3 linked regions of the Caenorhabditis elegans genome follow. Each later gene encodes a partner of the first gene's protein in a complex. Each region holds a gene or a part of one and is shown on either strand. Other genes may lie near its edges. The genes, in order: zwl-1, czw-1 and rod-1.

Region 1 (3,754 bases):
GATTTTATATGATTTTTTTTTGAAAATTGCAAAAATCTCAGTTCGAATTTCCGCCAATTGGATTTGTTCGGTGGAGCGCACTTGCATTATTTTTATTAATTAACTTTATTTATTCTCGTTATTTGACCGATTTTCTTCATTTTCTATGTTTTTTCCTCGGAAAATGGAAGAAATGAACAAGACAAATGCAAAATGTTTGTTAAAAAGTAATTGAAAATGAGTAAAACTGTGAAATATACTAGTTTCAGGCTTGTCGTCGTCGGATCGCATATTTTCAGAGTTTTATGCATTTTCAGTTACTTTTTAATAAAAATTTTGCATTTTTCTTGTTTATTTCTTTCATTTTCCGAGGAACAAACATAGAAAATGAAGAAAATCGGTGAAATAACGAGAATAAATAAAATAAATAAATAAAAATAATGCAAGTGCGCTCCACCGAACGAATCCAATTGGCGGAAATTCAAAGCGGAATTAGGGGGAAAACTGAGATTTTTTCAATTTTCAAAAAATCATATAAAATCTAGAAAATTTTTTTGAATTTTTTTATCATGATATTCGGTCCTTGTGACCTCATAGGAATGTTTCAAAGCAATTTCTCCGCTGGCGCTACTCCAGAAAACATAAATTTATTACTATCTCTGAAGAGACACCCCGTCCGAGAGTGGAATTGGATTTGCATCAAAGAAGCTGGTTTCACACTCGTATCCAATGATTTCCACGTCGCCAACTGTAAAATCTGGGGGTTTTTCAGCATAAAAACAGCATTTTCAACCTACCCATTCCTTTTCTCAATTTTTCCAAAGTGAGAAATGACGTCATAAGTGGTCCACCTTCATTCACATTTTCTTTATCCTCAAAACTATCTTCCATTGGCTCAATTTTCTTTTTGAAAATCATCTTTTTCTCCGCTTTTCCTGCTCCTGATCCTGTTCCCTTGGATGGAAAATCAACGACAAGAACATCTTCAGAGCTCAGAGAAAGCTGGGAAACGCTCGAATGATTCATCACGAAGGGAATCGACGTGAGCGGGAGCACGCGGACACGGTACTTGTCGAGCTGAAAAATTTAGATTTTGAAATTTTAAAATTTGAGTTAAAGGGGGAGTAGAGTTTGTGGGTATTTTACTCAAATAGACTAAAACTGGACCAAAACCACCGAATTTCATAATGAGACTTCACAAAAAATTTCCAAAACTTTTTTATGGCGGGTTAATAAAATTTCGAAAAAATAAAGCCAAATTTTGCTAAAATCTGAAATTTCGCACACTTTTCTTTGTCACAACCGCTGAATTTTAATTTTTCTAAAGTTATCACCCTTTAATCCTTATTTTGGTAATTTATCTCGCGAAAATTCGTTGATTGAGACAACTTTTAAGCCGATAGGCTTAAAAGTTGAGTAGGCATCCAATTTTGATCATTTTTGGATGCCTATCGGCCTAAAAGTTTTCTCAATCAACGAATTTCCGCGACATAAATTACCAAAAGAAGAATTAAAGGGTGATAATTTCAGAAAAACTAAAATCAAGCGGCTGTGAGACAAAGAAAAGTATGCGAAATTTCGGATTTTAGCAAAATTTGGCTCTTTTTTCGAAATTTTGGCCCGCCATAAAAATGTTTTGGAAATTTTTTGTGAAGTCTCGTTATGAAATTCGGTGGTTTTGGACCAGTTTTAGTCTATTTAAGCAAAATACCCACAAACCCCACTCCCCCTTCAAACGAAGAATTCTAGAATTTTGGGGGAAAATTACCAGGAGAACCGGTGCCGGGGCGTCGTCCTCTTCGCCTTTTGCGGCCATTTTTTCATTATATTGCTTGAGCTGCTCGATGGTGAGTGGCATTTTCTGGGAAATGAAATTTTGAAAAAAAAAAGAAGAGAATTTTCTGAAAAAACGTGAAAAAAAACATTTTTTCACTGATTTTCTTCATTATTTGTGTATTTTCATCGGCAAAAAGAGAGAAAAATGCGAGATAAATGTGAATTTTTCATTGAAAAATCACTGAAAATGGGTAAAACTGTAATATTATGAGTTCCGACGACAACAAGCCGGAAATTAGCTATTTTCAGTGATTTTTTAATGAAAAATTCACATTTATCTTGCATTTTTCTCTCTTTTTGCGATGAAAATACACAAATAATGAAGAAAATCAGTGAAATAAGGAGAAAAATAAAATAAATTAATAACAATTTAATTTCCGGCTTGTTGTCGTCGGAACTCATAATTTTACAGTTTTATCCGTTTTTAGTGATTTTTTAATGAAAAATTTACATTTATCTTGCATTTTTCTCTTTTTTTCCGAATAAAAAAACCCAAAAAATTAAGAAAATCTGTGAAAAAATGAGAAAAATAAAGTAAATTGTTTTGTTTTCGCGCCACTTAAGTGCACTTCCTGTGCAAACACTTCCACGTACTTTTGCGTACTCTGCAAGCGCGCCCCACTGCACTCCTTATCGACCCACCAATTTTTCCAATAAAAAAGACTTTCTGATTGGATTTTTTCTCAATTTTTGTTTTAAAATCAAAGAAATTAATGAAAATTAATTAATAACACATTATAATTTTTAAAAAATCCATTTTTCAGCAGGATGTCGGAGGCAGACGCCGGCGCGAGGGATGGTGAGAAAATTAAGATAAAAAATTCAAAAAAATCAAAGAAAAATTGCAGAATCACCATCAAGGACAGCGGAAGAGCCGGCTGCTGCAATGAGAATCAAAGAAGAACGGAGAAGTTCTTCGGTAGACGTAGTCGACGTAGGAAACGGCGAATTATTAGTGCTTCACTCGATTTTTTATCAAGGAAAGACGCTTCGTCTGCCGGGTAATAGAGCTCACATGTATCCCGTTGTCTTTCAAATGATTAAAGGGTGAGAAAAAATCGATTTATAAATATATATATATATATATAATTAATTTCTGATCATTTTTCCATTTTCAGCGTGTGCTCCCTAGTTAAACAATTGGTGGTCGCTTTCCCGAAGGGCTGGGACCAAAATACTCCGTCAATTAGTGAAATTGCGGCTCTGACGAAGAGTTTTAATCGTGTCGCCAAGCCATTTGCTTCGAATGTGAGCTTTTTTGGCGTTTATAAAATCCAAAAAAGGCGGAAAAAATAACTTTTTTTTGGCGTTTAAAAATCCAAAAAAACCGGAAAAAATAGCTTTTTTTTGGCGTTTATAAAATCCAAAAAAGGCGGAAAAAATCGAATAAAAATGAAAAATTCGTGTTTTTTCTTCCTTTTCTTGGATTTTTTTAAACCAAAATCCGCAAAATTTGCAAAAATTAATTAATTAACTATTTAATTTCAGTGGAGCGGGTCGTACAACACAGATACGCTGAAAGAGTGGGGAGAGCCAAATTGCTCGGCAGAAGTGGCAAAAGCCATCACAACGTACGCCTACGAGTGTGCAGTTCCACGGCCAGCAGATCTCAATCAACATTACAAAAGTTTCACGTCCGAGGTGAGGCGTTTTCCTGGAAAATTCATATTTTATGGAAAAAAGCTGATAGTTTCGGGATTTTTATTCAAAAATCGGTTTTTCCTTAGAAATAAGCCTGAAAATTTATATTTTCTAAAAGCCAAATAATTTAGGCATTTTAACTTAAAAATTCATCAAAAATCCTATTTTTATCGAAAAAAAGTCAATAATTTCGCTAAAAATCGGCTTGAAAACGATTAGTTTCGGGATTATTACTCAAAAATCAGCCCGAAAATCCATATTTTTATCGAAAAAATCCCATAATTCTGCATAAAATCGG
Region 2 (3,754 bases), on another chromosome or scaffold:
TCACGTTATCACGGAGAAGATTGACAAAGTTGATAGTTGATTCACTGAAAATTATTTTTTAGAAAAAAATAATAAACACTTTAAAAAATTACCTGACTGTACATTTCTGGAAAGCGAAGAATGATGGAAACTGCGAATCTTCATTATGGCTCCAAAGACGTCCAAGATCTTTTCCATATTCTTTAGCAAAATGTTCGGCATGTGTATGAGCCTTTGCAAGCAAATCAATATCCTTGATGGCTGAATCATCAACTCCAACTGTAACCAGTTTGTCATACGTTTCATTTATCAATTTATTCGCTTTTGAAACGATCGCAAAGCAACGACGAGTCACAAAAATTGTGTCCGTGTCAAGAGTGAACAGCAACTTTGCTTTCTGAGAAAAGAATCCGAGCTCCTTCATTCTTTCGACAAAGACCTCTCCAATTTGCAACAAATTAATGAACATCTCCTGATCTTCGTCAGCAGTTTCAGTGACGGGTGCTGCAATCGCAATTACATCTTTCAGTATCATAGTTATCAGTTGTTCCTCAATAACGCTTCCGATCATCGACGTGAAAGTCTTTCCAGTCGCGTCCAGCAGTTCGTGAGAATGAAGAACGGAGTGCAACTTCGTAAAAAACACTTCCATTGACCTGAAACAACCATATTTAATTAAATTTCAGAATTTTAAAGTGGTTTTCGCTCACTCGAGAACTTTTGCGACATCAATAGTCTTGTCCTTCTTGCCACGTGGTTTTTGGTTTATCAAGAATCTTGTCTGATCAGGTGTTGGATTATCCACAATATATACGTCAACACCATCGCGGCTAGCAACAATCGCTTCACAGAACACGTTCAAGATAACGATTTTCCAAGCGTCCAGTCGTTCTGGTAATTGTCCAATCATATTCATAGCACTTAGAGTTTCGTTCAGCATTTTCTGATCTTCCACGCTTCCAACATTGAATACTGAGAAAGAAACATTTGTACGATCTCCACATTTCTGTTTTGACAGTTTTGGAACATTCATTGCTCTTTCGTAGTCAGCGGACAATTGGTAACGACAATTGTAGCTTAAAACCGAATATTCTGCGGCAAAATGCTTCAATGGAACACTCATGTCGAAACCGTCTCGTCCAATTCCTTCAAGCAGCATGTTTGTGTCATTGAGAAAATCTTTACAAGCAAGAATAGCAGTTCCCCATTCTACACGATTCGTTGTTTTACTCCGCATAATTATCAATTGTTCTTCGACATTTTTCATCTGAAAACTCAATTGTTTTATATGCTTATTTTCGAACCATTACCGATTGCAGGAATTCCACCAGATTTTCGCAGCTTTGAGCTTGGGATTTAATCTCTGCGAGCATTTCGGGGCTGTCCTTTGCTGTCTGATCAATTAAGTTAGACAGATTTCGAGTAGACATTTCAGCTATATCCTCGAGGTTCTCAAGTCGGTCGAAAATAAGCTTGGCTGTCGCGTTAACATTGAGTGACACTTTCAGGTTTCCATACTTGTCCACAATGTCCTGCGAGATTGAAGTAAGTCCATTTTTCAGTTTTTTCTCAAGATCTCTATAGGATCCCTCGGATGACGCCATTTTTTAAGTTTCACAGCCTGAAAAAGAAAATGTTCTACGGAATTATTAACTAACAAATACATGAAGACAAGAGCATTTAAATTTCCCGCAAATAGAAAACATAAAAACGACAACGAGACACCGGTGCGCTCACTTTAGCAGAAAAATGTTACTCACGCGTTCACAGAGATGAAAATTAATAACGGGAGATGAGTTGCAGGCAAGTGACTGGGGAAAGAGTCAATTTAAAAAATGTTTAATTGAGAATTCAGCATTCGTGATTGCTTACTTTTTGAAAAAAGAGCGCCGCGTGAATAAAAACAATAACGTTTCTATGAAGAATAAGATCTTATTACGTATAATTATTACGTTGCAACGCGTTGAAAATCGATTTTAAAATCCTTTGAACGATAAAAACAAAAGTTTGTAAAATGATTTGAAATCGAAATCAAACTTCGTTCCACGCGCGCATAATTATGATTATTGGCGCCAATGTACGGTGTACATCCGTGTTTGCGTACTTCGGACATGCAGACAACGAGAGACTGAACAAAACTGAGACCCGAAGAACTCGGGGGATGTCCAACTGGGGGGATTCCCAACTCGGGGGATTGGCCACGCCCACAGAACCGTGCCTTACAATACGCCCATTTCTGCAACCTCCGCACGGTTTTGAATGATGATTTTCTTCATTGTTTTTTGGGGGAGAAAAATCAATTTCGACTCTAAAAAGTTCAATTTGAATTGTTTTTCTTCGTTTTTTTCAGCCATTTTCGCAAAAAAAAGTATTTTTCAACCGTGACTTGTTAATTCGCCCTCCTTAATTCGTGTATTCCTTTTGTTAATCTCTTTCCCTCTCATATTTTATCAATTTTTTTAATTTCTAGACTTCGTCGAATCGAGGGAAATTGCACGGATGAAACAGGGATGTGCTTCTCCAGGCCACCCACGTGAGTATTATATTCTCAAATTGTAGAAAGTAGGAAAAAATTGATTTAAGAACAAAAATTGAAATAGTTTAACAAAAAATTAATGAAATATCTTCGGATCGAACATATATGGACTTATAGAGGCATTGAAATCGTTGAAACAGCTATAATTTGCTGTCACTGCTCTTTTGAAGTCGGAATTTCTGTATAGTGGCGGGCGATCAGTTCTTTTCGATTGTACGTCTCTGTGAACGTTAAGACTCCAAACCGTAGACTTCTCAATTGAATTGTGTAGAATTTTGTAATTGCATTCATTTAAGCCAAAAGCCTCTAAAAACTAAGCGAATCTGATAATAGACCAGATAAAATCTTTTTTCATTTATATATCAGCGATGTCATTATGAAAGTTCTAATTTAAATTTTTCAGATCCGCCCGAGCTGCTCATCCTCCAAATTCTTCCGTTTTCATGACAAATTATTGTTTTTTTGTTGAAATTATGTAATTCATTAAATGTAATATTATCCTTATCTGTAAATAATTATCATGATCAATAAAATATCGCTCTTAATGTTCAATGAATAGCTTGCAAACCAATTTGTACAATAATTTCATTGAACAATTTCCTTCGGCTCTGAAAAACATTTCATCACAATTTTTCAGGTTATCTTATTCGAATTTTTTAAATAGAACTCGTTCTACGTTCTTCACTTCGTCTCCTCACGTGTAAATTGTTCTTTCCTTGCAAATAATCGATTTTTACGCGTCGCCTTTCCGTGTGAATTGTTGTTTCACTGCGAAAAATCGATTTTTTTGAAATATTTTACTTTTATTCCGCGAAAACGACTCAAAAACCGAAAAAAACAATTCAAATTGAACTTTTTAGAGTTGAAATTGATTTTTCTCCCCCAAAAAACAATGAAGAAAATCACCATTCAAAACCGTGCGGAGGTTGCAGAAATGGGCGTATTGTAAGGCACGGTTCTGTGGGCGTGGCCAATCCCCCGAGTTGGGAATCCCCCCAGTTGGACATCCCCCGAGTTCTTCGGGTCTCACAAAACTGAGAGACGGAGGCTACCGGAGGAAAATTCGAAGTTTTTTGTTTTTTCACTGAAGACGTTATTTTTTAAATTTATTCAAATGCGCATTTTATTTAGAAGCATCTTTTCTGACATAAATAAAAATTTTACAGGTGATGGACCCGCCACCCTTCAACTTCAATTCATCAGCAAATACCTCGGTTAAACCTCCAACAGGTACATATT
Region 3 (3,754 bases), on another chromosome or scaffold:
AAATCCCAAATCGTTTCATTAACTTGTGGACGACTTGGTTCGTTTTCTTCTGGACCAGCAATGATTCGATAAGTTCCCCACGTGTAGCAAAGTGCCTCAATCATTTTCAGAATATCCAGATCCGTTATTCTGCGCTTCTTTGCATGAGTCAAGTAGGTGCGGATACGATCACAGCGCCGACTCATTCCAACAAGAGTGAAGTATGTTTCAGCAACCATATTATGATCTTGAATTTGTCCCATCTTCGTCATCAGAGTCTCAAAAGATTCATCGCTTTCATCACAAGAGTCCATCAGATAATGTACGTGTCCTTTGTAAACCTTTTGTACATCCAGCATGAATGCCATGGCGAACTTCTCAGCTTCTTCAAATCTGTTATTCTTCAGAAGAGATTCGAAACGCATTTCAGGGCGAGACTGTGAGACTTGTCTGACAACAATTTGACTGCCGTCCTGTTCGTCTGCCAGAGAATTTTCCAATTCTTCAACGGCTATCAAGACACGATCACTTCCTCCATAAGCAAAAAGAGTTGTAGACGTGGATGAATCCAAAGCGAAACAATTGTCTTTATTCAATCGATCGTATATCATCATCTAAAAAGAAATTATTAAAATTTAACAAATACGATTCAAATACCTTTGTGCTATCTCCGTCACGTGGCAGAACCAAAATTGCGAACATCTTCGGAACTTCAACTTCATTCTTGTCAATGATCACAAAATCAAGAATTTTGTCGTCTGGAGACATCTTCATGTCAAATTCGTGGCAGAAGGATGATACCAATGAATCAAAGACATGAATCCATCCATCCGTGTCGAGGTGAAGAGAGAATCTACCTCCATCACGGACTTGCAAGAATTGTTTTTCCATGCCAATCACCTCAAACTCCGATTCGACGAGACCACACCAGTGAATCCCTCTTTGCTGATCAATTGAAGCGAACGTCTGAAGTGGCCCATTGGAGATCAGAGTAATGTCACCTGCGACCTTCGACATGTCAACAGACTTTGAAACCGTTTTTCCCATTGCCTGAAAAGAGAGTATTAAAATTAATTTGAAACTTTAAATGAATGTGATGAGCGTTACCTGGTGGAAAAATTCCTGAATCTGATCTCTGTGCCAATTTTCGAAACGGTTAGTCTCCTTAGATGCAGCCACGTCTCCTGGCAATGTGATAGTATGCCAATTATCAGATCGGCTCCCGAAAATCAATTGGCAAACACTGGAAGTAGTGTGACAGACAACGAAGTCAATTTCATGAGGAGCTGGCTCGTTCAAGTAAATTTCTTGTTTATCCAGCGAGAGAATTACAATACGACGATGTTCAATGACTCCAACAAAGAAGGAAGAACTTCCAAGGATTTCGAAATCAGTGATGGCTCCTGAAAATGTTGAGAAATCATTCCAGAGACTCTGAAATAGCTCATACCTCCAAGTCCGGTGTTGAACGAGTAGTCGCTTTTCTCGCCAAGACTGAAGACTGCCAGATCGGAGCACGACGCAAGAACAAGAAATCGCTCGTTACTTTTCGGTTTGAGCTTCCATGCCGGAGATTTCTTATCGATTGACATCTCATTTAACACTGAAACATACATTTAATTACATTAATCATAAAGATAATAGTTTTATTTTCTTACGGGGAAGGATTCGCCCAACGGTGCACACATCATAAAGGCCCACAGTCGACGTTTCCGCTTCCAAGTCCACAGCTTTTGCTTCGCCTAGGCGACCCATTCTGCAAATACGACATTATAATACACTGGTATCTCTAATTAAAAAATTTAACAGAAGAACGATTATAAAAATGAGTGAACAATTTCATTTCAAAAAATGTTTTTCGCCGCCGAAATAAGTGTCAGCAGGGCGCAATTTCCAAGTGTTAGAGTGAGAGAAACAAGACTTTTTTGAACCAAATAGTTGAATTTTGAAGCAAAAAACCAATAACTAAACACGAAAAGCGTTTCAAATCTCATACATTTCCTTACCTTTAACTGTGTTGAACAAAAATTAAATAATGAAAAACAATTAACACATTCAGTAAAAATTGATCGAAACGTGGAAATTACGTGTTCCTAACTATACAGCTTTTTTAAACGTAATTTTAGACCGGAAAACTTCTTTAAATTCAGAAATTTCACTATATTTATCAAAAATAAATAGTCTGAAACGATTTATTAGGATGAGGCGAGAAAATAACTGAAAATTAAAATGATATCCAAAAGAATTAAGATTCGTGTAAATATAGAGAAATTCGCGCCTAAAATTTGCGCGGGCAGGCGAAAAAAGACCGTAGTTTTTCGTCCCAAAACCCATCTCCAATATTCAGCATGCGCCTTTAATATGTCTACCGTATCTGCTCAGATGTTTCAAGTTTTTATCATAAATAAAATAATTTTACATTTTTTAAAGAAATTTTGAAGTGTTTATTTTCTGTGTTTCACCTGTTCCTACTGTTTTGTTCGTGGTTTGAACGTTTTGAATTATTTTCCAGAGCAGGATGACAAAACTGAACCGATGACAAATATATTTTATTATCTATACGGCCTCTGGAATGATGACAAAATAATCATCTAGGTGACTTTCTGTGCCTTTCACGGTTTTAAGATACAAATTTTTATAGAATACTAGTTTTTCATGTCAATTTCGGTACTAAAATGATCCCAGCATGTACCATAATATATCTTATTGTAACTTTTATATAAATGGAGACTTAGACGTCTAGACGTCTAACAAGAGACATAAAATAGAACCCAGTTATATGTTAAACGCACAGAGACGCAGTTGAGAAACAGAATCTCGTTAAGCGGGCAAACCTCTGCTCATGTCTTCTTCTTTTTTTTTTAATATGTTGCTTTTTGTTGTGTCAAAAACAATTATTATTGATTTCAGTCAAAACCATGACTATCGATACTGAATTGACAAACGGGTCCTCAGAGTCTGTGCCATTCGTGTTCATCGGAGGTGGAAATATGGCCGCTGCAATTATAAAAGGATGCCAGAATAAAGGTGAGTTAAAAAATTGTTCTCCTCGTTGATTTGAATTAAATTGTTTTCTAATTTTTAGGCTTTACACCGAAAAGCAATATTGTAATTGGCGTTCAAACGGAAAAATCGGCTGAGAAATGGAGGCAACTAGGATATAAAAACGTTTTCACAAACACACTGGAAATGCTGGAAAGATATTCGACGGCAATCTATGTGATTTGTGTGAAACCTCAAGTTTTCGAAGAAGTTGTGTCAAGCTGGCCTGTAAACTCAAGACCAGAATTTATTATTTCTGTAATGGCTGGAGTTCCATTAAAAGTTCTCAACGCGAAGGTGATTACTATAAGCAGTTATAAAATAATTTTAGAAATCATAATTTGCTGTACATAACATTTTTCCAGTTGCCATTCGTTTCGGGAAACACTACCATTGTTCGTTTGATGCCAAATGTAGCAAGTTCTATTGGAGCCGGCGCCTCGACGATGTGCTATGAAAAGAATGAAAAAATTATGAATCAAGATTCTCACATCGAATTGGCACGCGAGTTCGCCGAGTGTGTTGGAACTGTCGAACTTATCCCAGAAAGATGCTTTAACCCGGCAATGGCTATTGGAGGGAGTAGTCCTGCATGGACATTTATGTACATCGAATCACTGGCAGATGGAGCCGTCGCACAAGGGCTCGGACGAGCAGAGGCTAAAAGATTAGCTGCTCAAGCAGTACTCGGAGCAGCTCAAATGGTGCTCAATTCGAACTCTGGATTTGATAT

The links.
Region 2: zwl-1 (region 1) and czw-1 share a complex: the UniProt entries of both Caenorhabditis elegans proteins name them as parts of the RZZ complex.
Region 3: zwl-1 (region 1) and rod-1 share a complex: the UniProt entries of both Caenorhabditis elegans proteins name them as parts of the RZZ complex.

Annotation. Positions count from the first base shown.
Region 1 is NC_003279.8:2,400,318-2,404,071, reverse strand, and holds the start of zwl-1 (Protein zwilch homolog), read right to left. Parts: upstream 1,841-3,754; 5' UTR 1,838-1,840; coding exon 1,748-1,837; intron 1,057-1,747; coding exon 777-1,056; intron 728-776; coding exon 634-727; intron 1-633. Other genes in the region: dot-1.1 (Histone-lysine N-methyltransferase, H3 lysine-79 specific), read left to right, coding at 2,584-2,614, 2,664-2,862, 2,934-3,063, 3,304-3,456. UniProt on the Caenorhabditis elegans protein: Essential component of the mitotic checkpoint, which prevents cells from prematurely exiting mitosis. Required for chromosome segregation, the assembly of the dynein-dynactin and mdf-1-mdf-2 complexes onto kinetochores and spindle pole separation.
Region 2 is NC_003282.8:7,944,993-7,948,746, forward strand, and holds the start of czw-1 (Centromere/kinetochore protein zw10 homolog), read right to left. Parts: upstream 1,601-3,754; 5' UTR 1,584-1,600; coding exon 1,290-1,583; intron 1,247-1,289; coding exon 690-1,246; intron 636-689; coding exon 93-635; intron 45-92; coding exon 1-44. Other genes in the region: F20D12.12 (uncharacterized protein), read left to right, coding at 2,479-2,512, 2,919-2,962; mcm-3AP (PCI domain-containing protein), read left to right, coding at 3,685-3,745. UniProt on the Caenorhabditis elegans protein: Essential component of the mitotic checkpoint, which prevents cells from prematurely exiting mitosis. Required for the assembly of the dynein-dynactin and mdf-1-mdf-2 complexes onto kinetochores.
Region 3 is NC_003282.8:7,476,433-7,480,186, reverse strand, and holds the start of rod-1 (Kinetochore-associated protein rod-1), read right to left. Parts: upstream 1,736-3,754; 5' UTR 1,735-1,735; coding exon 1,638-1,734; intron 1,583-1,637; coding exon 1,430-1,582; intron 1,383-1,429; coding exon 1,087-1,382; intron 1,030-1,086; coding exon 637-1,029; intron 594-636; coding exon 1-593. Other genes in the region: pycr-4 (Putative pyrroline-5-carboxylate reductase 4), read left to right, coding at 2,898-3,006, 3,065-3,318, 3,387-3,754. UniProt on the Caenorhabditis elegans protein: Essential component of the mitotic checkpoint, which prevents cells from prematurely exiting mitosis. Required for chromosome segregation, the assembly of the dynein-dynactin and mdf-1-mdf-2 complexes onto kinetochores and spindle pole separation.